3 linked regions of the Bombyx mori genome follow. The protein of the gene in region 2 interacts with the protein of the main gene of each other region in a pairwise test. Links are inferred from orthologs where the notes say so. Each region holds a gene or a part of one and is shown on either strand. Other genes may lie near its edges. The genes, in order: metaxin-1, small glutamine-rich tetratricopeptide repeat-containing protein alpha and translocon-associated protein subunit delta.

Evidence for each region.
Region 1: the proteins of small glutamine-rich tetratricopeptide repeat-containing protein alpha (region 2) and metaxin-1 interact in a two-hybrid assay, tested with the Caenorhabditis elegans proteins (2 studies listed by BioGRID). The link is inferred for Bombyx mori from reciprocal best matches to the Caenorhabditis elegans genes sgt-1 and mtx-1.
Region 3: the proteins of small glutamine-rich tetratricopeptide repeat-containing protein alpha (region 2) and translocon-associated protein subunit delta interact in a two-hybrid assay, tested with the Caenorhabditis elegans proteins (2 studies listed by BioGRID). The link is inferred for Bombyx mori from reciprocal best matches to the Caenorhabditis elegans genes sgt-1 and trap-4.

The regions. Positions count from the first base shown.
Region 1 is NC_085127.1:1,795,067-1,803,832, reverse strand, and holds metaxin-1, read right to left. Parts: upstream 5,681-8,766; 5' UTR 5,576-5,680; coding exon 5,498-5,575; intron 5,417-5,497; coding exon 5,270-5,416; intron 5,150-5,269; coding exon 4,880-5,149; intron 4,588-4,879; coding exon 4,353-4,587; intron 3,708-4,352; coding exon 3,553-3,707; intron 2,920-3,552; coding exon 2,851-2,919; 3' UTR 79-2,850; downstream 1-78. Other genes in the region: endoplasmic reticulum protein, read left to right, coding at 8,230-8,766.
Region 2 is NC_085113.1:139,389-147,832, forward strand, and holds small glutamine-rich tetratricopeptide repeat-containing protein alpha, read left to right. Parts: upstream 1-3,290; 5' UTR 3,291-4,050; coding exon 4,051-4,908; 3' UTR 4,909-5,303; downstream 5,304-8,444. Other genes in the region: actin-related protein 10, read left to right, coding at 629-772, 1,507-1,718, 1,948-2,313.
Region 3 is NC_085130.1:17,558,084-17,566,952, reverse strand, and holds translocon-associated protein subunit delta, read left to right. Parts: upstream 1-3,091; 5' UTR 3,092-3,455; coding exon 3,456-3,707; intron 3,708-4,927; coding exon 4,928-5,084; intron 5,085-7,016; coding exon 7,017-7,117; 3' UTR 7,118-7,178; downstream 7,179-8,869.

The sequences.
Region 1 (8,766 bases), on a different chromosome or scaffold from region 2:
ACTTCTATGTATGTTAAATTAAAAGCCAATGACGAAATGTCCTTAATAAAAGAGAATACAATAAACAATAAAACTCAGTTTCAACGTAACCGTTTATTTAATCGACGTAATAAATTAAAACATCAGTACATTCTACAGTACGAAACAAAACTACAGCGTGCAACAAGTACGGCCGGCCACAGACTACACAACGTATAGATGCGGCGACGACGCCAACATCTATCCGCATAGTCATAACGAGTCTGTACCTACTCGAATATGAAATCATGGACATCGCAATACGCAATACACTTGCACAGCTTGCCGTGAACAAATAATCATAATAACGAATAATCAAACAGGACCGCAAAAATTTAATACTCAATACACATGGAAACATGTTTAAATGCACTAAAATACAAAGATACAGAGACGAACGTAAATCGTAAATCTCGTAATATGGAATTTATAGTCTAGTCGTTTGTTAATTCAAATAATTTACGATTATTTTCGATCTAGTCTTTCGTCTTTCAAATTATAACAACTGCTAACATTCTGCAGCGCACGCAATTTGAAAACAATCAAACCTTATGAAACAGAAACAATGGACCTACAGACAATTACTAAACCATCAAGTCCCAAAGCACTAACATTATTTAATCATCAACAATATTATAGCGTATAAATTTATCTTTTTATTCGCAGCCTTCTATCATTAAAGCAGCTCTGACTTTCGAATCATACCAAATTCAAACTTTTATTTAAACATTTTTTTCTTCTCCTTTCCAACCAACACAATATCCTTATTATAACTTCGTAAACAATTCAAGTAATTGAACTAATGAAACATAAAATTTACAAACAGAATACCAATGAAATTTAAAACTATATTTTTTTAACATTTATTTTTAAAACTATAGTTCAATTATTTGAAGACGATGGATGTAACAGAAACATTTGAATGTTTAGATTGATAGAGATAGACATAACTATTACATTCTTTGTCTTTTATGTGCATACATATTTCTAGTACGTGTTGTGTTAATAGTAATTATTACGAGAGAAAAAAAAACGCGTGATTCAACCGTAAAAGTTTTTCATTAATTCAATTTTACTATACCTCGCCCATTGCGGCGTGACTGACTGTTTGTTTAGGGTATAATTGAAAAACATAAAAAAAAATTATGTGTGTATTTTGACGTATATTATAACTTCAAATAGCTGAGAGAAAAGTCTTCCACATATTGACTGTAATTAATTTAAAAAAAAATTAGCAGGCCCGTTGTCGCTGGTAACTGAATACGCAGCACGGAAGCGACTAAAATGACTTCGAATTTAGTTTTATATTTCTATTCTATAGGATATACTCTGTGTGGTTTTTATATATTATATGCCTTATTAGGTACAGTGTATACGAGGTAACACAAAAATTATGCGCGCGCATTGCCGTCCGAAAGGTACCATGTGTACTAATAAAATAAAGCCGTAGTTGAAAAAAATACTCGGTATATATTAGGAGAAATAAAAAATAAAACCATACATAAATTTTTAGAAAGAAATGGGAGTGCATTAATTATTTTACTATAAAGCTAGTACTCCCATGTAAATGTATTGCTCTACCATTTTAATTTGTGAATTTTAAACATTAATGGCATCTTTATTTATAATGAAACAAAAAATATCTATAGGGCTTCAAGAGAAATCACATAATGTTCTCCTGTTATGGTCGATATTTAAGGTATTTTGCATAAAATGGATTTGCCCATGCATGAGATTTATATACATATATTGTAAAGTAGTAGTACTGGCATGAAAGCACAGCCCGCAATGTAATATCGAATGCGCGAGGTTAGTGAACTCACACGACAAGGGTTCATCAACCTAAAAGGCTTATTACACTTGGCTAAATTTAGTCGACTGAATTCAGAAGCAAATTTAGAAGCAAGTTAGAAGTTTCTGATTACACTGTTCTTAATTCAGTTACTGAATCAATTGCCAGTTTAAACCCGACGAAATTGGACGTGTTGTGTGTGTAAGAGGATAGCCCCAGTATTGCCTAGACAACAAAAATTTGGTCTTGGTGTAGCCCTCGCTGTCGGCTCAATTAAATAAAAATAATAAACGGAAGAATATGGGTGAAGAAATATTTATTGCTGCACGGGAAGTTAGCAAATATGAACATTATGAGTGATTTAGAACCTGCAGACTACAGAAATTATCTAAGAATGGATTCGAGATCGTTTGACCTAATATTAAACCTTGTGACACCGTTTATTCAAAAGCAGTATACTATCCTACGAGATAGTATAAGTCCAAAAGAAAGACTGGTTCTAACATTAAGATTTCTTGTAACAGGAAATTCGTATCAAGGTGTAAAATTTAGTTCTTTAATATCCCAAACCCTGCTGACAAAAATTATCACTGAAACATGTCGAGCTATTTATAAATGTCTGGCACATTAAATGAAGGTAACTGAAATAAATACTTTTTATTCGGAAGTAAAAAACAAGCTAAAACGTCCTTACGCACGGAGAGCTATGGGACGACTGAAATCATTAAGTAACTAAATGCGATTACACCTTCCTAAATGCATTTCTATTTAGGCTTCTTAATGATTTAGTCAGTCAGAAACCATCCTTGCTACTGAATTTAGTATGCTAGCTTACTGAATGCTATTACACTTCACTGAATTCAGTAGACTAAATTTAGCCAAATGTAATAAGCCAAAAACATCAATCTTATGCATTGTCTAGACGGTTAAGTAATGTGAATTTATCCCTTCCTACATAAATTTAGGTACCCACAATACCTTTGGACAGCAGTGTATGTCATCAGCTGTGAGCTTGGTTAAGTTATAAACTTCAGTTACTATCAGTTGTCCTCTTCTTCATTCTCAAACATTTCATTGTAATCTCGCGAGTGCTCAAAGTCTTTCAGCTCCTAAACAGAATATGGATTGTTAAATTATTCTTCATTATGTAAAACAGTATAATTGGTGCAAGGACATTTGTGAGTCCACACGGGTAGGTACGACCACCTTGCTCATTTCTGCTGTAAAGCAGTAATGCGTTTCGGTCTGAAGGGTGGGGCAACCGTTGTACTATAAAAACTAGAGACCTTAGAGCTCATGTCTCAAGATTGGTAGCGGCATTTACGTTGTAGATATCTATAAGCTCCGATAACCGCTTAACATCAGGTGTGCCGTGAGCTCGTCCACCTATCTAATCAATAAAAAAATACTTTCAATAAAAGTTTAGTACCTAATAAAATTAATTTATTTTTATTTCAACATTTATTCAAGACCTTCTTATATTTACTAAGCTACGATATCCTGCACAGCGGCATGTTTAACCTTGCACCTTGGTAGCGACGCAAAAAGGGGCATAGTACACTTAGTTCTAATAATATTTTTCCCATTTTTTTTGTATGTAAGTGTATAAGCAAGCTTCTATCCTTTAGTTTGTATGTGCTGTAGTTGGTAAATCAGGGTACTTATTCTAAAGTGTACAATTGGTAATGGGAATGCTAATAGTTACAAATTAAATATTCATTATTAACAAAAAAATTACATACTTGAAACATTCCATTAGCCACTGCATACCCCGTCATAGCAATAGCAGCAAACAGGGCTGCTAAGATTTTATTTCGAGTCTGGTTGGGAAAGTTTGCGGCTTCTCTATCAGACTGCGAGCCTGTGGACTGTTTCTTTGCATTCTGTTTATTATATTCTGTAATTTGTATACTCATTATTGAGTTTGAAAGAAACAACATAAAAACAGAAAATTTTATTAAAAAAATACAAAAATTTTATTATTGCCAGGCACTGCTATTTTTGATAATGCAAATGATGTCTCTGTTTTTTCTCACAATCTTCTGCTTCTCTTCACATTCTCACAATTAGTATATAATAAAACCCCTACTATGTTTTATTATTTAATTAACTGAATTGTGTGCTTAAACACATGTGTTGAGTAACACATACTAATAATATATAGATATATTGTAACGATAGATATATTGTCCACCTTATGGTATAAGATTTGAGTCTCAATTGCGTTGTCTCATTTATAAGTTCCACATATAAATAAATATTGTTAACATAATGCCAAATAATGAGAAAGAAAACTTTCTAACAGCTTTTATTAAACCTATTTTCTTGTTCAAAATCCTCTTTATTCATAAATGTTGAGTAGACATATCCACAATTAGTGTGGTTCAGCCTAGAAAAGCACTACCTCATTGCTTACCCCAGGTATCATAAGAAAAGTCACTTCTTCAGTAGATGTTCAATAGAGATTGTACAGCAGCATTGACTGAGTGTTCGATGTGATATACATATTTTTAATAACCTTTATTTAATTTACATTACTTACCATCTGTGACGTGTCTAAAATTTTTCTGATTGATCCTGGCCACAAATCTTGCCAAATTTGCAGTGCCTTTGACATGGTTTGACAGAGTCCCATTAGGAAATGGTGCTTTCACTAAAGGAGCTAAGTAAGCAAACACAATAGCGTCAAACGATGAAGGACGGTTTCCAAAGAAGTATTCACTCTCACCTAATCTATCTGATAATGTTTTAAGGCACTTCTCAGCTTCACTGTATATCTGGAAAGTGTTTTATGCAGCTTGATTTGATTTGACAGCAGCAGCATTTTGGATAACCATTTTTTTTTTTTAATTAACAATACTCAAGATAAATTGATCAGGAAAATATGACAATCTCCAAGGATCAAAGCAAGGGTATTTATTTCAACATAACCTATATACAAATAATTTACCTTTTAGCATGATTGATTATTCTGACTAACAGTAACAATAGTGACATGAATGTCATATTACATAAAGTTGATTTAATTTAATAGTCTACAAAAAATATATATTTACAAGCTCAACTTACAGTTTTCTCTATTTCTCTAAGATCAGTATGTTCTCCATACAATGCGTCTATCATTTCTTTGGCGGCATTCTGATACCGTGATGGATAAAAAAAATTAAATGGAATTCTCAAACATTTTGCAAATGTTGGCCTAGTTACATCATTGTAATTCTTTTCATCCACCCACCAAGCATACTGGTAAGCTGGGTATAACTTGTCTCGGAGGTATTGTGTGAATGCACTCGCTTCCGCTGCCTCTTTGGAGTTTAAATGTACATCTGTGTTGTAATGCTGAACATAAAAAATATCAACTTTTTTTTCTTAACTTGGAGAAATCTAGTGGTAACGAGAGCTAAGGGAAATATTTTTAAGGGAAATGTATTAAATTTATAAATCAGTTTCGGTACGTACTAGAGATTTCAAATGTTCTACTACTTCTTCAAAATTTGTAAGAACGGTCCGTCCATCTCTCATGACAGGAAGTCGACCTTTGGGGGTGAAAAATGGGTTATTCGACTCTCTCACTTTAACAGGCACACCGATAAATTTCATGTAAGTCTGAAAATATGAAATAATGAGATATTTTACCATTATTCAACGCCGGTTTGATTCATTTCAAGGTTATGTTATGAAACTTACTAATACTTTTAAACATTCTAAATCGATAGATGCTAGACCCCATTCTCCTCTCCAAATGTCTAATTCAATGTTAGCCATATTCGTTTTAAAAAAAATTGTACATTAATATTTTCTAACAATTCAAATCCTAAACAAAATACCTTTGACACTTCATTTGACATTGATTCGTCCATTGGACAGGCAAAGAAAACTTAGCTCATAGGGTGAAATCTTTTGTAACAAAGGTTAACGCCGTTTCTATTGTACTTATATAAGGGAGCCGGTAATGTAATTGATTGCAAAAGAAATATAAAGCGATTATTTAAGTCTGACAAAATAGCTCTCAGGTCATCTCATTATATTTATTTTATTTATTAAATTCAACGTCATCCCAATTGATTAATATTTACAATAAATAAAATTCATAAAATCCATTCATTTTTCATAGGACAAAATATAACAAAAATGTAAACACTATTCACAAGTTGATTTTTAAATTGTTATTGCTATCGAATAATAAAATTTAATTATTTCCTAAGTCTCCCAAGTAGATCGTTAAAATAATCAGAAGATAAAATGTGGCGAATATTTAATCTAATTAACAATTATTTTTTTATCGTTGTGCCTTCAGCGCTCAAATTATAATTTGGCAGCATTTGTAATTCGGTAAAAATCATGGAGTTAATAAGTAGAATAGTAACTCTTTGGTAAAAATGCTTTCACACGATTTGTTGAATCTAGATCATCAGAGTTCTATCATAAAGGCATAAATGACCTTCCTATTAAATGGCAGCAATGTATAGATAGCAATGGTAGATATTTTGATCAAATAAATAGGTTAAATGAAAAAAAAAAACGAATTTCAATTTTGCAGTACAAAATATAAGTTATATCTTATTACTTGACACTGGCTAATGCACAAACCGAGCGAGCCACAATAAAAAAAATGTAGATGTAAGTACGGTAGGTACCGTAAAATGGGGCGATTAGGGATTGAGAGGCGAATCGGGAAAAAACCGGGAAAATCTTTCGACGCTCAATATTAGTTTTATATTCGTTGCAAAATCTTCAATTTTTTGTAGTTTAATAGTAGAATGTTGAAAGTTCACAAAACAACTCTGAATATGCATGATAATAGCTGCTAACTTATAAAAAATCGCGTTTCAAATTAACTTCCTGTGGTGGTCATTATTTTAGTGTTAGAAACTTTGCTCTCTTTTATTTATTTGATAATAATAGAAGACGAATGTGATTTATAAACGTTATTTAGTGTTTGAACCATCATATATTATTAAAGGTAAGTCTCAGTTGTTATTAGTTTTAATGTATTTGATAAAATAAAAATACATGTAAAAATCTGTTGTTTTTGGGGATATTGGGGACGTCTTAGGTACAAATAACAACGAAAAAGGGGTTAATTGGGATGAGAATACGTGAAATGGAAACGACCTAAGTATAAATAGGTACAGGTTTGTAGGGTTGTCTATATAGTTATAACAATATTTTTTAAATTTGTTGGTAAAAATCTGGTTTATTCATGATGTTTTTGTCTAGACCTTTTATTCAAAATTATCAATGTGTTATTTTATTGTTTGGTAAATATTTATATTATCAGTTACGTATTGTTTTCTATTTTTAGATAATGCCTCGCGTGTACGTATCAAAGAGTGCAAAGCCTCATAAGAGATATGTTCCCTTAATATTGAAAACAGCAATAGAAGCCTTTGAAATTGGGAATAAGTCTTTAGTTGAAATAGCTAAGCAATTTAATATAAGTAAGTCGATTTTGCACAGACATCTAACAAGAACAATGAAATCTCAAGGTGGACAAAAATGTCTAAGTAATACATAGTAAAATATTTAATATTTGTTCAGAGTGGGGGTATTCATCTGATTAATCCATGGAATAACCGACACACCTAATCTCTTAACCCAGATAAAAATATCAGCCCCTAAGTACTTACCAAGAACGAAGAAATATAAACCGTTTATAAGAAAGCTTACTCTCCTTTGGGACTACAATAATGTCCACGGTAGCATGGTCTCCGTCAATGTTCATTCGGAGTTGTCCGATTACGCTGAACTAATTTTAAGTGATGAATTTAGATGTTTTTTTTAATTGTATCACAACTTACAGAACAAATCTGTCGCGGATCATTTCCCAAGTAAATATAAATTAATCATTAGTAAATAAATGTAATCAAGTTGATGATCACTTTGTTGGTGCAATTAAATAAATAAATAAATTAAAACCAAGTAGTGGCAGCCCTAGCAAATTTCTCATTTCGTCCCAATTAACCGCAATTTTCGGGTAAATAGGGATTACACCTATTTTTGCTTTTTTTGCTTAAACTGGAATGCTAATTGCATAGTTTTAAATTGGACAACAAAGATGCCCTCAAGACTCAATCATTTCGATCCTGATATAGCATTATATACATCAACAACTACCTTAAAATTGGTCATAAAGTTGGAATTTGTCCCTAATCGCCCCATTTTACCGGTACTTGTAAGTTGTAAGGTTTTAGGTTTCATACCTACTTCAGTGTTTTTTTTTATCACAATCTGTTTAGTAAGCGTAATTTACCGATTTGATTACTCTATTTACCCGCAACCATACACATAATATTACTGCAACAGTGTTTGTTAATCGTTAATCATAGTTATTATAATAATCATACTGCGGTGCTATTGTGGTCAGTTTAACTGAACAAATAATAATTTAAGAAATCTCCAAAAACTAATAACTAAATATGTCCATACAGTGGACCTTCATTGCTGGGTATCTATATTTCGAAATTGCTTTAGTGATGCTGATGATATTACCTATATTCAGTCCTAGAAGATGGAATCAATTTTTCAAATCACGTCTGTTTTCAATGTTTCGAGAAAACGTAGCTGTATATTTCTATGTGTTCATCGGTGTGTTGGCGTTGTTTTTGATTGATGCAGTGAGAGAGATACGGAAATATTCAAATGTTACGGACGTGAGCCACACTCATTTAGCTACCGAAATGAAAACTCACGTCAAGCTATTTCGAGCCCAAAGAAACTTCTATATTATAGGCTTTGCAATTTTCCTGACATTCGTAATACGTAGACTAATCACAATGTTGATTATACAAGACGAATTAAAACAGAAAGCCGAAAAAATAATAAAACAGGCAGAGGAGACAGTGAAACAGGCTAAAACAAGTATCCTAGCGAACACTTTACAATCAGAGGAATTACAACATTATGATGAAATAAATAGTCAATTAGAGGAAACTAAAATCCTATTAAAGTTAGAA
Region 2 (8,444 bases):
AGAAATAAATTTAATTAAAATAAAGTATAACTTCTTACGCGCGTACATAAGTACACGCACCCTTTTTTATATACAAGCTTCTACACAGAGGCTAGGGACGGGGCTCCGGTCAGCAGTGTGGTGTACGTTAGCCAATATCGGTTTCCAGAATTTCAACTATTACGTTTCTGTATGCTACCGGTGAATTTCACTAAAACAGTTTCAGTTGTTTGGGCGTGACAATGTAACAGACAGACAGAGCTACTTTCATACTATTCATATTTGTCATAGAATTTCTAACATTTAACAGCATGAAAGGAAGTTTCAAAGATATGTAAATAATGTTTACTTTTCTGCAACATTCATGAAATAAAACCTATGCTCTGCTCCAAACCAACTCTTGTCTACTCGCATAGACAGCCGCAGAGCCTTTCAGTCGTGGCGGAGATGCACAAACAACAAACGTACCAACAAAAAAAATTATTGAAAATTGCTTTTATACTATGTTCTAAAAAATCCTTTGCGGAAAAAATACGAATGCTTTTTTTCGTTCTTAACCGAGTGACTAAACAGCGCAGCGCTGTAGGCCACTGGCCCCAGGCAATGTCGCACGACAGGTGAGGGCATGAGGACAGACGGCAACTTGCAGTGGTGCACTCGTGCGTGGTGCTGCGCGCCGTGCAGGCGCAGCCGCTGGGCGCCGCCGCCGTGCGCGCCGAGCTGCTGCACCTCCTGCGCCAGGACTGCGGCCCCGACCTGCACCTACCCGACCATGTGCTCGAGGACATCACAGGTACCGCGCGACGTCCGCCCATACAAGTCTCAATTTTTAATATATGTATTCATTTCTTAAAAGGTCCGTCATCTCAGCGAAATAAGAATATTAGTCATACAGCTGGTTATAAAAATGTTTATTTAACAAACCTAACATAAAATCGATGATTCGGGGTCAGGGGGGTGTACGCCGAGGTGTCTGCTGGTCGGCCGCTGCCTCGTGTCACGTGTCATTCTGATGTTAATGAAACCGAGCAGGCGGGGCAGGTGATGCGGACGATTATTTTTTTTGTTGCTTAAATGTGTGGACGAGCTCACAGCCCACCTGGTGTTAAGTGGTTACTGAAGCCCATAGACACCTACAACGTAAATGCGCCACACACCTTGAGATATAGTTCTAAGGTCTCAGTATAGTCACAACGGCTGCCCCACCCTTCAAACCGAAACGCATTACTGCTTCACGGCAGAAATAGGCGGGGCGGTGGTACCTACCCGTGCGGACTCACAAGAGGTCCTACCTCCAGTAATTACGCAAATTATAATTTTGCGGGTTTGATTTTTATTGCACGATGTTATTCCTTCACCGTGGAAGTCAATCGTGAACATTTGCTGAGTGCGTATTTCATTAGAAAAATTGGTACCCGCCAGTGGGATTCGAACACCGGTGCATCGCTCGATACGAATGCACCGGACGTCTTATCCTTTAGGCCATGACGACTTCAAAACGATGCCAGAGTTTGCTTCGTTTCGCAGTGAAGACGTGCTTCGTGAGCCCGCGGGCGCGCGCGCTGCGCTGGCAGTCGGACAGCCCGCCGGAGCCGGCGCGCAGCGTGCGCTACCCGCTGGCGCGGCTCGGCGCCGTGTGCGTGTCGGGGCGCGCGCGGGAGCTGGCCGCCGAGCCGCTGTTCCGGCGCGACAACGAGCTGGCCTCTCTCCCCGACATCGTGCTGCAGTGCATCATGCAGGTCAGCGCGCCACCACTGCGCTCAGAAGAGTGTTCCAACACCCTCTATGAGCTACATCAGCCCGATGACGGATCACGTTACATCTCATACGCATAATTAACTGTAGGCCCGTATCTGCGATCAAAAAAATGCTTAATTTCGTGAAAGTTAATGGTAAGATGGGAAAACTTCCCTGACGTTGCCACTGTCCTTGGACGGTGGTGTAACCGCTGTCGCGTGTGCCGCACAGTGTCCGATCGACGTGCGGCGCGCGCTGGCGGCCAACGTGCTGCTGACGGGCGGCGCGGCGTCGCTGCCAGGGCTGCGCGCTCGCCTGTCCCAGGAGTTGGCGCACCTGTGCACGCTGCCGCCGTACAGCTCGCGGCTGCGGCTGGGCGAGTTCAAGTTCCACCGAGCGCCGGCGCACGACATGAGCTGCGCGTGGCTGGGCGGCGCGCTGTGCGGCGCGGGCGAGGCGGGGGGCGGCGCGGGGGGCGGGCGGCTGCTGTCGCGCGACGTGTACTGTCGCGAGCGGCGCCTGCGGGACTGGGTCAACCTGCTGGACAACACGCCGCCGCACCACCCGCAGCGGGACCACCTCGACCTCACTCTGTAGAGACCGAGCGCGCCGCATTTATTTATTTTAATCGTAACATCAAATCGTTATATTGCGCAACCCGGGTCGTGTCAAATAAATACTTTACTAATAAAACATTTAAAAATATCCCGTATTTTTTCTTGCGACACTGACCTATATTTATTCTGCTATATGAAAAATTATATAGATCGAAATGGAATGAATTTGATTTATTTAAGATAGAAATAAATTGGAATAAAATTAAATGAAACATTGTGAAATAAAACGAAAAAGTCTTAGTAAAATGGTCTAAGTATATTCTTAAAATATGACTTAACTGTTTGGAGAATCTCGCGAAATAACATTCAGCGACTTTGTTGCATTTTCCTACACTTGTGCACTTGCTACTCACAGTTAATAAATGGTAAACACCTTTTTCAAACGAGGCTTCTGGAGAGTATTAAACGGTAGGCAGCGGCTTGGCTCTGCCCCTGGCATTGCTGACGTCTATGAGCGACGGTATCCACTCACCATCAGATGGGTCGTATGCTCGCTCGTCTGCCTATACGGCAATTAAAAAAATAACACTTAATAATATGCCACTATTATTATATACTGAAGAAGCAGTAAAAAAACACGTTCCCGCCAAAAGTCTTCAATCAACTTCTTCGTTGACTTAATAACTGTTACAGTATTATTATGTTAAATGTAATATTACAATGGAATTACAATAGAAATGGAAACATCGACTAATTAAAAAACTGTATTCATTTTAAAAAAAAAGGGTGCTTGTACTTATGTACGCGCGTAAGAAGTTATACTTTATATTTATTAAATTTATTTCTTTTCTTTTAATTTAAATTTTAATCAATTTGAAAAAAAATCGATTAAACAACATCCTCAAACACGCATATTGGACATCCCTTTTCTTGACATCGTATAAATTCGGCAATTCTCGGTACGGTTCGGAAAGTTCACCTGCGGCTATATTCAGACTCGCCAAGTTACGTCGGTCGTATTGTAATGAGCGATTTAGTAGGCAAGTTCATTTCTGTTAATTTTGTGTCACGGTGGGCGCGCATCGTAAAATTTCACTCTCATAAATTTTTCATAACGCGCCTAAAGAAGTATAACTTCAATAATTAATTTTGTGATAACTTTACTCCGGACCGTTTTTTAAATTCAATGGATATTACTTTCATTTTCTCCAGAACACCACGAAAACATATCTCTATTTACACAGCCGACAACAGTTAAGTGTATAATCTAGGGCCGACAACTAGGTATATGGCTCTAATAAAGAATTTTAAAAAAATCCAGTGACATCATTCTTCCGCATCTAAATCACGTAAGTCCAGTAATTTTCGTACCAAGGCTTTGGTTTATCCCTACCTCTCTCTTTCTTTGCATATGGCCATTCACTAGCACCTTTAGAACTTTAAGATTTCATTCCATAGACAATTAAGTTCGTAGCTGCATCGGCTTCTCGCCAGACTGGGTCTTTAGATACGCTATTTACACCCAAAATGCTGTTTCGATTTCCCTTAAAACATTTGGTTTTGGTCCATTTATAAAAAACAGACCAAAACCAGGCTGTTGATGATTAAGCAGGCAACGTCCAAACTGTCAAAGTCAATTTGACAACTGTGATATTTAGTTTCATAAATGTGTGACAAGTCTAAAATCTACCTTCTGTGTAAATTGGTAATCTAAAGTCTAAACGAAGCGTAGAAGCTCAGTATTTTGCGCAGTTAAAAGCAATTCTTAAAAATAGAAATGTCAAACGAAATCAAAATAGTTGCAGTGAGTATCGTGAACTTTCTAAAACAGCAATTGGACGGCGATTCTTTGAGCCCTGATTCTAGAGAGAGTGTCGAAGTCGGCGTGCAATGCATTGAGACCGCTTTCGAGCTGACGACGGAAGATGCGGCTCGAGGCCTGGACTTACTGCAGCTTGTCCGTCAGCGACTGGGGCCGCCCGCTAACAAGGCTGAAGCCGAACGACTCAAGAACGAAGGCAACGAGCTCATGAAAGCTGAGCGTTACAACGAAGCGCTTGAAAAGTACACGCGCGCCATAGAGATCGACCCAAGAAACGCAGTCTACTACTGCAATCGCGCGGCTGCGCATTTCAGGCTGTGCGACCCCGAGGCAGCGGTGAGCGACTGTACCACAGCACTCGCCCTACAGCCTGACTATAGCAAGGCGTACGGACGCCTTGGGCTCGCGCTCACCGCCCTCGAGAGACACTGCGAGGCGCGCGCTGCCTACGCCCGCGCCGCTCAACTCGACCCTGAGAACGAGTCCTACCGAGAAAACCTCCAACTCGCTGACCAAACCTTAGCACAGCGCCCTAACGATCTGAGTGGCTTACTCCGGAATCCTGCTTTGATCAACATGGCTACGGAGATGCTCACTAACCCTAATATGCAGAACCTCATTTCAGGGTTGATGACAACGACAGGGGGAGCTCAGGGTGTAGGAGAGGTGCCCCCAGGAGGTATTAATGCGTTGTTAGAAGTGGGACAATCATTGGCACAACAAATGCAAGCTGCTAATCCTGATTTGGTAGAGCAACTGCGACGTCAGCTTCGACCCCCAGGGTCTGGTGAAAATCAGCCACCTTCTCAGTGAGAATGATGTGTATTAGTATTGAGCCTGTGAGAGGGGACTGGGATCCTCAATTCTCATACTGGTCTGTACTTTTGTCTTCTCTCTCAATTCCAACTTCACATGATAAGAGTGAAATTCTACTTTATTTGTTAAAAATTGTTAAACGTTTCTCAAATCACACTACAACTCAGCCTAATACTGATGTAAAACATGCTGCTTCAAATAAATACTGTTCCTATATAAACATCCAGAAGAATATGATACTAAAATTATTTTGGTTCACCATACTTCACATAGAGAAACTTGTGCAAGTGTTTAATTATTAGGGAACAGTGTAATAAATTTTTGTTCCCGAGCTATCCTTAGCTTATGTTTGACTAATTGGTAATTTTAATAAATATATATTTAAATATAAAGGGAATTTTAATTTCGAGAACATTATAGTCAGTGAACATTAACAAAATAATATTTTTTATTATTTGGGCAATAAGTAAAAAAAAACATTAATCTTGATCGGGTTTGAAAATAGAATTCAAATTCAATATTTAATCATTTTGTACACTATTTTACCAGTTTATTTTTATTACATTATATTTGCAGATGAAATCAAAGCCTATTTGGTGTTGAGTGGTCCAGAACCCAAAGACAACACCAAGTTAATGCTACTGCTCATTTTAAGACAGGTGGAAATCTCTATTGTATTAATTTTTTTATGTGACTAGAATTCTTCAGCTCAGAACGAACTAATGGTGAGAGAAGAAACGGGAAGGATTTACTGACAGTATGGTCCACAGATCACCTTTGCAGTGAGATCTGTACATAGGGTTAAGGAATACGTAAGAATTACGATTAGCTAACAGATAGTACTATGTGGAAATGAGACGTTCGCCTCAGGAAATGTTACTTCAGTTAGTTAGCTTCATTTGAAAAAAAGGTTAGTGAACTGAAGTTTTTTTTTCGGTCAGCGTGTCGAACCTCCTACGAGGTATCCGCGACTAAGGGGCACGCGGGATATGTGGGACTTGACGGTCTGGCAGCAGACCGCGAGCCCAAGGATATTTTTAGGACCCTACCGCACCAAACGACTGCACTCACACCCGATGTCCGATCTCCGCCCGGGGTCAGAACCCGGACATAGTAGGGAGGTTCCCGCGGTCAACACTACAACCAGACACGCACACCAGGCACACCGAGGACGCCGCGCCGGTCTCCGCGGAGAGTAGATACTAGAGCTGCGTCAACTTAGACACCCTTTTTATAAGTCATACTTCGCCGACGCTATATAAATAAAAATCGCAACTTTCGTCGTTCCATCTATTATTATTATTTAAGTTTCCACATTAACTCCTCCCGTTACATTATTATTATTTAAGTTTCCACATTAACTCCTCCCGTTACGGGTGCCGGTTCCCCAATATCAAACAACTTTGACAAGAACTCTGGCCAGGTGTTAAACCTCGTCCTCGGGGTCTTTTAGCTAAGCGTATTAACCACTATACCAACCAATCTCGATTTTTTCTTATGGCGCTGAGACTTGATCTCTGAAATCTGTAGAGCGTAAACGGATTGTCACCTTTGAGATGTGGTGCTGGAGAAAGATTCTCCGTATTCCGTAGTCAGCATTTTGGACCAACGTATTAATTTTGCAAGAACTCGAAATCTCCTCGCGGCTGTCATCCGAGTGGCTTTGCAGAGTCCGACCAGTCCGATCAGATCCGTACCGTTCTTGATTCCACATTTCACAACGCTCCACACCGCCAGAGACAAGAATAGGTGGAGAAAGATCGTGCGTGCGAAGGTCATACAAGAGTGGTGGCTACCCTCAGCAGTGAAGAATACGACGCAAGGAGGAGGATCAACCAAGCAATCGACTCACTCAGTCATTCAGACGATCAGTTAAAATTTCCGGTTTGAAAGATAGGACTGTCACTTGATAAGTTCACTTCGACTATCTTAACATTAAAAATTATAATTACTTTCAGGGGATCATTTCCTTGTAGGGTTGACACTGCTAAAGGTTCAGTTAGGTACATATCATACAGGTAGATATCAGTATTAAACCTGTGAATTGAATATATAATTTAATTCTAGAAGACGAAAAAAACTCTTCAATGTGCTTTCTTATCTATTTATTACATGCTATGTATAATTTATTTTCATTATTAATTTACATATCATTATGTACACATAGTAGCAAAATGTAAAAACAACTCAAAGTAAAGCTCGTCTCGCGCCAAACGGATGCTGAGAATTGCTTACAGGCTGCAACACTAAGCTCATCTCGGCGGCTTTATATGAGAACGAGAATACAAAACAACTTTTACGTTATTCTCATAATAAGATATATTATTTACATATTATTATGTAGTGCAGTAGCGGGGCGCCTGTGCGACATGACAGCGCCGTTACAATTTGCTTTTTTATCATGTATAATATAAATTCTAAAACATTATGATATAAGGAATATGAAGACTAATACACCGCTTTATCTGTGCAGGAACAACATGTCGAGGGGTGAGAGGCTGTTTGTTTTAAGCGACATTATTGCAACTCTACAGGAGAGCCATTTAAAGTTTAAAATTTGGAAAAAATATCACATAACGAAAAAAATCTTTTTCAGTTATTTGAATGAAGTAAACTTAATTAAAATTCAATTAAAAACATCGAACTGTTGATGGTGATACCAAATAAAACGGACCTTTAATTACAAAGATAAATATCGCTTAAACCAGAGCGTTTCACCCCTCGATATAGTAGCTTCACGGAAGGATTACCTTTACCGTTTTTAATGAACTTTTATGTAATTTGAAGGTTCACTGAAGTGTTTTGTAAAGAAAATAATCATAAGTGAAAGCGTCCGTCTGCAGGCGCGTCACACCCCGCCCGCGCGCGGACGACGCATACATATTGTTTTGAAAACCAATCATTCTGCGCACCAATTAGACCTACCTCTACAAAAGTTAAGTAGATAAAGCTAAAACATTGGATGCAGCTACATATGACATTTAAATCTTTTATTATAAATTATTATAATAAAAATTATATCTAAATAAATATATTTTATTTTCGATATATGTAACGATAAAAATATAAAAAAAATTGGTTTCATAAATTGAATACTTCAGAACAATAACAAAGTGGTCGCGCGGCGTCGGAAGCCAAATAAAACAAGCAACAACAGTGCAGTAAACAAATATATCTCTATTACAAAGTTCAATAAATTACAAATAGACTAAATGTGCTGGTCGAGGGCCCGCGGACCGCAGCGCGTTCAGTTCCGTTTGGAGGGCGGCACGAGGTGCGAGGGCAGCTCGGTGGGCAGGTCGTGTCCGTCCACCTTCACCGAGATGAGATGCATCGCGAGCGCAAACTCCTCTTCGTCCAGGAAGCCGTCCTTGTCGATGTCGGAGAGCTTCCAAATCTTGCCGAGCACAGAGTTGGGCAGCTTCGACTTCACCATCTCTGTCTTTGCGGCTGTTGAAAAATAGTTCGTAATATAAGCAACAATACGAGTTTATTTTGAAAATGTGTTAGTATAATTTGTCAGACACAGAAAT
Region 3 (8,869 bases), on a different chromosome or scaffold from region 2:
AAATGAAATTAAATGTAGATAATTAATTTGAGATATTAATCAACTGCGTTGAAATTAAATGAAATGAGATTAGATGATATGGGATAAAATATAATCTTAGTAAAATGGTGGTCATTTACTGAGATTTTTTCAGTGGACTTTTTGGAGGAACCCGAGAAGTTACGTCCAGCGGCTTTATTTAATTTTGCCACATTTGTGCACTTTCACAGATATTAAACAGTTAATAAACCACCGTTATTACACATTTAAACCTGAAGAAACACTAAATGGACAAAATAAAACAAATCACACAACTTCACTCCTCGCGTTCCCGCGAAAAAGTCCTTCTAACCTTATCTGACGAATATCTAACCTTATCTTTTCCATTTTAGTCCTATTCTAAAAAAAATATGGCTGCCTCGTGCAGAATAAAATAAAACATCCAAGCGACTGCGCAGATCTTTTTTTAATTCAAACTACTGTATAAGATGCTCAACTGTTGAGGTAGTCGCCGAAGCGCCTTCATCATTAGCCTTCACGCCTTCTGAAGTCGTCGCGGCCTAAAGGATAAGACGTCCGGTGCATTCGTATGTAGCGATGCACTAGTGTTCGAATCCCGCAGGCGGGTACCAATTTTCTAATGAAATACGTACTGAACAAATTTTCATTATTGACTTCCACAGTGAAGGAATAACATCGTGTAATAAAAATCGAACTCGCAAAATTATAATTTGCATAATTACTGGTGGTAGGACCTCTTGTGAGTCCGCACGGGTACTAGGCTGCACTAAAAGTATCGGGAATGGAATATTTCCATTGTTTCTGTCATATTAAAATCTTTTTAATTGAAAACTCCTTGGTTTTAAAAATCGAATACCATTTATTTATTTTAAAAAAGATTCTCGGTCTTGTCACGAGGTTTTGTCAAACTGCAACCGCCGCATCATCCTGCATCACGACAATGCGAGTTCTCACACCGCGCACAGAACAAAAGAGTTTTTAGAGTAAGAAAACATAGAATTATTAGACCATCCGCCGTACAGCCCCGACCTAAGCCCTAATGATTTCTATACTTTCCCTAAAATAAAGAATAAATTGCGTGGACAGAGATTTTCATCACCTGAAGAAGCTGTGGACGCCTACAAAACGGTAATTTTGGAGACCCCAACTTCTGAATGGAATAGTTGCTTCAATGATTGGTTCCATCGTATGGAAAAATGTGTCAAATTTCGCGGAGAATACTTCGAAAAGCAATAAATACATTTTTAAATAGTAATGTTGTGTCACTTCGTTAATTCTCGAAATTTTCAGTGCCGCCCTCGTAGGTACCACCACTCTGCCTGGATTCGTGAAAGATGAACACTTATAATCCATAAATACAGGTTACTGAGTTTCTCGCCGGATCCTCTCAGATCATTTTAGCGGTAAGCAGCGGTTTGGCTCCGCCCCTGGCATTGCAGACGTACATGAGCGACGGTAACCACTAACCACCAGGTGGGCCGTATGCTCGTCTGCGTGCTAAGGTAATAAAAAAAAATGTGTGCGTGTACTAGTGTACACACGTAAGAAGTGAAACTTATTTTTCGAAAAATGATCTACATGCAACTTTCTAGAAATTGGTTAAATAAAGTTAAATTAGATAAAGTTTAAACAAAAGGATTTTATTATCATAGACATGAATACAAAAAAGATGGCGCGTAACGGAAAAATGTGACGCGTAACCGAAAAATGTGACGGTAAATTTTTTCCAACGCCGATAAAGAAGTTTCACTTCAAAAATAAAAAGTTGGTCGCGATTTCCATTCCTATGATAGATTCTGGAAAGCACTGCTCTTGCTAAGGCCAATCTCAAATGGTCCTGTAATCATCAGGATCTGATTGATGATGGGATCCTGGGAATATCGAGAAAAATCTACAATTTTCAAAGCCTATCTTGAAGTGATTTGTGTGTTTCTTGTTATTGTTACGCGCTGGGGTTCGGGATAAATAATATTTCACCAAAGTACAATGGGATACATAGTATTTCACCAAAAACTCTCAATTCGCTTATTCCGCTTCGCTTCAGGTGATCCGTTCGCTGTTTCGCTTCTAAATAGTTCCGATTACTGACTGACTGCGTGCCATCTCTACAACGCTTTTATAGCCGATATGACATCCCTAGAATTATCGAGAATATTCTACAAATATCTAGTAGTAGATTCCGCTATCTGCCAATAGATGGCGTTGCACTTCTCGAGCGTTCTGGGCGCTACTAGATCCTTCGATATTCGTTCGACTATTCGGCAATACATGGCGTTACTCTTACCGGCGTAACAATATTCTTCTTATCATTATATGCTATATCATTATTACGCGCTTGATCATTATTTTGCTGAGATGTTATTTTATGGTTGCGATATCTTCTAAGATACTCATTAAAATCAAATGATAGACAGGGAAAAGTTCTTTAAAGTTAAATATCTGTAATACATATTTATTTGGATAAGGACTAATATGATTTTTATGAAAACACCTTCACAAATAATGCTTTTTTTTAGAACAAATTTGGTTAGCATAAAAAAGGTTCTAGTGAGCCTATCTTAAAATATAGGCATAGAACTTTTAAAGGGACATTATTCTGTCATATATTATTTAAGCGAAATTTTAACCGTATCCGCAGCGCGCGCAGTGGAAGCTCTCAAAAGGCAAAAAAACGACCTTGAAACATTATTAGTACTTCACTCGTATTGGTCTTAGCGTGATGTTATATAGCCAGCCTATAGTCTTCCTCAATAAATGAGCTATCTAAGACTGAAAAAATCAAATCGGACCAGTAGTTCCTGAGATTAGTGCGTTCAACCAAACAAACAAACTCTTCAGCTTTATAATAGTATAGATTTTTTATTTTAAATATTTTTAAACTTCAACACAGGCAACAATGGTATCGCAAGAAGACGATTACTATACTGAAAAAAAGTTAATTACACATGACAAATTAATATTATTAAAAAATTTACAAATACGTTAGAATTCTGAAAGATTTAAGAATTATTTTATGGTTTTTCAAAATTCACAAATACTTTTAAATTTGAATGCATTGTTATTAAAATATATTATACTGATCGCGATCTTTAAATGTAAATTGGCCACACGTAACCGCTGACGTTTCGGAGTTGCGTTCTAAAGACAACTTTTAACACTTTCTAAAATTTAGATAGTGTGAATAAATTACTTTAAAACATCAGTTATGCTTTTACGTACATGAAATAGTTTAAAATCAATACTGTGATTGGGAAGATTACAAAAACAAAATATTTATGAAGTAAAATAAAATTTAGAAATTCAAAAATTGATGTGAAATATTTGATTGCTTGATGTTTATGAAGACATTGAAGAGACGTTTTCGAACACAACATACGTGGACGGCTGTAAAGGAGTGAGAATTGTAGTCTCAAATTTTTAAAATTAGATTTACCTTTAAGGTCACAAATAACAAAATGGTCACAAAAAGTTTTATTTATATTATCACAATCGCTCTTATCGGCAGTATTTGCGCCGAATCCTGTCAGAACCCTAAAGTTGAAGCTTCATATTTCACTAGTTTAGATGCCACGGTAGTCACACAAATAGCCTATATAACCGAATTTACGCTTAAATGTGACAATACTCTGCCCGAGAACTACGGTTTGTACGCTGAAGTCGATGGAAAATCACTAACGGCCGCCAGAATCGGTGAAAACAAATATCAGGTAAGTTAATCATATTTCCTAGGTCCACCTGAGACCGAGCCGCATTTAAAAGTTTAAAAAGGACACCTTTTCATTTCTTATAATGATATTCGATGTCTATGTTATATAAGGGTCTTATATTGCTTTATTTAGCTTTTGAAGATATAATAACTATCCTAGACACTACAGTAACACTTAATGGTCTCAACCAATCAACCCTTTTAAATCTGACAAAACAACAATGTTCCCATAATCAGAGATTGAACAAAATTCTAATTGAACTAAAATCCCTAAATCTTCAATTTAGCTTTAAAAAAAGAACTTTCCTGCATTCTATATATGCTAAGTTTTTTAAACCACAACAGATAATACAATTTCCACCTCGAACCATTTGTGAGACCTGATCTTGTTCCAATATAAATTTTTAATTAGTATTATTATTGAAATATAAAATGTTCACATGTATTATACTTTGACAGTACAATGACAGGAAAGATTTCCATGGAGTGCTATAAAAACTACCTGCAATATACTACTATATAATAAGTTTCGTCAAAATTATAAGAATCAATTAGAAAGCCAAAAACAAACTTCATTTTTTTTCTATAAAAGATATATTATGTGATGGTAGTAATTTTTAAAAGTCATGTACATTTTACAAATTATTTTTAAACTTTCAAGCCATTTCAATCATAAACATTCGGCATTATTTATAATGGTTCGAGCCACGCATGCTAATTGGTCGACACAGCTGATCAGACCATAAGCAATTGGTATTATTTATCACGGCTCTGGTACGTGTGGCAATTGGTCGACACAGCAGATCAGAGTATAAAACTCGACTGCAACTTAGGTGGCCTTGCCACCTGTCTTTTTTTTATTGCCTTTGTAGGCAGACGAGCATACGGCCCACCTGATGGTAAGTGGTCACCGTCGCTCATGGACGTTAGCAATGCCGGGGGTAGAGCCATGCCGCTGCCTACCATTAAGTATTAAGTACTCTCCGCAAGCCTCATTTGAAGAAGGACATGTCATAGCGCCTGGAAAACACAGTGGAGGGGAGTTCATTCCAAAGCCAGATGGTATCTGGCAAGAGAGGCTGTCTCTAGAGAAAGCTCTACATTTATATTTCAAGATGAACGTAATTTGCTTTCCTTGCTGTCAGCTCTTCCATCTGCATATTCAAATACTATTTGAGTCTAATTTAGCAATGGTGTTAAGTATTTAAATCCCTTTCATAGATTTCCTGGACCGAAGAACCAGCGAAGGCTCGCTCCGGAGTGCACCAGATAAACATTCTAGATGAAGAAGGCTGGGCTTCGCTGCGTCGTGCTCGACGTGCCGATCCTGCCGCCTCTGTTGCTCCACTACTCGCCATACAACTTAGTCATCCTGGCAGTAAGCTATTTTTAATACGCTTTGATTAGCTTCAGACGTATGTATGTTAGTATTACTGGTGGTAGGACCTCTTGTGAGTCCGCGCGGGTAGGTACCACCACCCCGCCTATTTCTGCCGTGAAGTAGTAATGCGCTTCGGTCTGAAGGATAGGGCAGCTATTGTAACTATGCTGAGATTTTAGAATTTATATCTCAAGGGTGGCGCATTTACGTTGTGGATGTCTATGGGCTCCAGTAACCACTTAACACCAGGTGGGCTGTGAGCTCGTACACCCATCTAAGCAATAAAAAAAAAAGAATCTTTGAACATGATTTTGACCCCCCTCAAAACGTCGGATTAACTCGAAATTTGGCATGCTTATTAAGGACCGATGACAATTCAATATTTAAAAAAAAAATGAAAAATTGGAATTCAACTAAAAAATGAAAAATAATTAGTAGTTTAAAAAAACTAACAAAATATGTACGCTTTTATAGAAAATCCAACTAAAAAATAGAAAATAAATTTTAATAAATTTGAATTTAAAATAGTGTTAGAAAAAATGATTTTATTGTAAAAAAAGCGTGGGGTGCATGGTATCAGTAGTTATAAATATTTAATGAAGAAATATGAGTAGAAGGGTTATTTTGTTAATATCGTGCAAAGGCACCCCACGCTTTTTTACAATAAAATATTTTTTTCGTACACTATTTTTAATTCAAATTTATTGAAATTTATTTTCTATTTTTGAATTGGATTTTCTATAAAAGCGTATTTTGATAGTTTTTTTAAACTATTATTTATTTTATTTACTGCTGGTAGGGCGTCCTTTGAGCCCACCCGGGTAGGTACCACCACCCTGCCTATTTCTGCCGCGAAGCAGTAATCCAGCTCCAATTTGAGTTACATTAAAGATATATTTGAGACTTGGATCTCATCTCTTCACATATTTAATGTCTAAAGGCTTCCGTAACCACTGGACACGCCACAAGCTTGTTTACCTATGTAAGGCATAAAATGAAAAAAAAAAGATGTAAAATCCCGATTGATTCACTGGAAAATAAATCTGCATTTTAATCAGTATAAGCAATGGTTTCAATGAAATGTGATTGATCACATTTGAATGTGGGTTTAACGGTCATGATAAATCAACCTAATTTTTTTTTTATTGCCGTTTTGGGAAGACGAGCTAACGTGATGGTAAGTGGTTACCGTCGCTCAAGGACGTCAACAGTGCCAGGAGTAGAGGCAACCCGCGGCCTCTCTCCGCGAGCTTCGTTTGAAGAAGGAGCATGTCCTTCTTATCATCTCATGTCATGTCATAGTGCTCGGGCGACACCGTGGAAGGGAGTTGAGGTTGAGTTGATTTAAAAGTAGTAAGGAGTACCACTGGTTCCTGCAGTCATAGCGCCACTGTTCTACCTATTACTGGTACAAAAATGTCATGGATCGACATATCGCCTTTTCGCATTAAAAGTGTACAATTTCCAAAAATATTCGAAATTGAGTTAATAATATATGTATGCGTAAACATTTCGCATCATCAGTATTTTTATCATAAATATTGTCAAAAGTGCTTAGTTTAGTTTTAGTTTTTTTTTTTTTTTAGTTTAACTATGTTTTACTATTAACAAAATTAATACATAATATAATCTTACTTGAAAAAACAGATAATGATAATAACTGGTAAAAAATATAAAATAAATGTTGCAAAGATGATTAATATTAAAAATATTACATGTTAAACCTTTAAAAGACTCTCCTGTAAAATTAGTATGTTTTGAGATTATACAGTTTTAAAATGAGAGAAGACGATATCTCCATCACACACAATCTCAAGATACAGGTAACATTGTCATTTTGATCTGTTTGTGAGTCTAGACGGGTTTTGAACTCCTCTCATGTAACGCAATAACAAAAAGACTAATAAGATAACTCAATTTTTTCTCCAGGCTACTCCGGGCCATGGGTGAACTCCGAGATACTGGCAACATTCATCTCAATCTTGGTCGCCTATACGGCACTTCGTAACAAGAGCAAGATATTAGCTTAAGCAATTATTGTTAAATTACTGTTAATTTTATATTAAAAAAATAATATAATATAACAATTTTTTTTTGTGTTTGTTTGAGAAAGCGTCTTAAGCATTGTACATTTTAAACAGTAAAACTACGCATTTTCTTAGAATTAATAGAAGTTCTTCCTTAAAATTATAGAAACTACATTTTTTTTCCTACCTAAGCTGATAGCCTTGAGAGGCTATATCAGCGTCGCCTTAACTAGTAGGGGAGCTCACGGGGCTCAAACCTGATGACGTTGCTAACACGAACCCTAGCAAGAGCAGTGCTTCGCAGAATCTACCACCGGATCGGAAACGCGACCCACTGAGAAGATCCGGCGAGAAACTCAGTGGGCTGTGTGTGAGGGAAACTAGAAGGAAGGAGTACCATCTTGAATAGGGGACAAGTTGAAAAAATATCCATCTGTAAACAGCAAATTATAGTTCGAAAACTCACCGAATTAGCGCTAGTGTAGCAAGTGGGAATAATACGAAAATAGCAGTTTTAAACAGTGCTAGCTTAAAGTGAAGTGTGATATCCCGACACTACTGTTAGTATCTCGTCACTGACTAGGGGCCGTAACTCCATTGCCGCCATAAAAATCCTTGGCCAGCCCATAGCTAGGGCTTCGAAGGCTAAGTACTTAGGCGTCACTCGATAAGGGATGACATTCGGGCCCCATATTGAGTCAGTGCGCGACCGAGCCGCGTTCTAACTCGGTCGACTCTACCCCATGATCTGCAAGCGAAGTACAATGTCTCTTCATAACAAGGTGACACTATAAAACTTGCATACGTTTCGTCATGACCTATGCAAGTGTAGTGTTCACTCACGCGGCCCGTACATTACGTACGTACGTAATTACTCTCCAGTGTGCTTAGTGCGAGTTTTCTAACGTTCTCGATAGCGTAAAAGTTAGCCCAATTTTATATACAGTTGGAACAGCACCCCTAGCGGCAAACATAGGTAAACGATACCATTCCATACAAATATGAGCTAACCTTTACGTTATCGAGAACGTTAGAAAACTCGCACTAAGCACACTGGTCATCCAATCCCGTTTCTGCAGGATAGCCTTCGGAGCACCGTGGTATGTGAGGAATGTAGATCTTCACGGTGACCTAAATTTAGTACCGATACGTAAAAATCTAAAGGAAGCGTCGGAACGCTACTTCGACAAAGCGGCGAGACACAAAGACCTTCTTATCGTGGCCGCCGCTAATTGCTTAGCCGCCTCACAAGCACGGGTCGCCGTCCGTGAGTTCGACGAGTGAATTAGCCCATAGACCCAACCCACTGAGTTCCTCGCTGGATCTTCTCAGTGGCTCGTGATTCCGATCCGGTGGTAGATTCTGCGAAGCACTGCTCTTGCCAGGGCTAGTGTTAGCAAATTCTCTCAGGTTGAGTCCGTGAGCTCACCTACCCGTCCGGGCGAAGCTGAGATAACCTCTTAGGCTACCGGCGAATAGGGAGGGAAAAAAATAAAAAGAAGTGTGATAGTTTAAGGCGCCGTTTTTAAAACCTTTCCACTTGCTACTGTGGCGCCACCTTCATTTACTCCCTGTCGACGGACACTTTCTGCACTTAAAGTTATAGTAAAATAAGGTAAGGTCAGAGAGAGAATATATTTTATTGCACACCAAAACACAATTAACATTTAAAAAAAAACAGTTTTTTTTTAAACCTAAGCTGGTAGCCTAGAGAGGCTATTCCAGCTTAACCGTAACTAGTAGGTGAGCTCACGG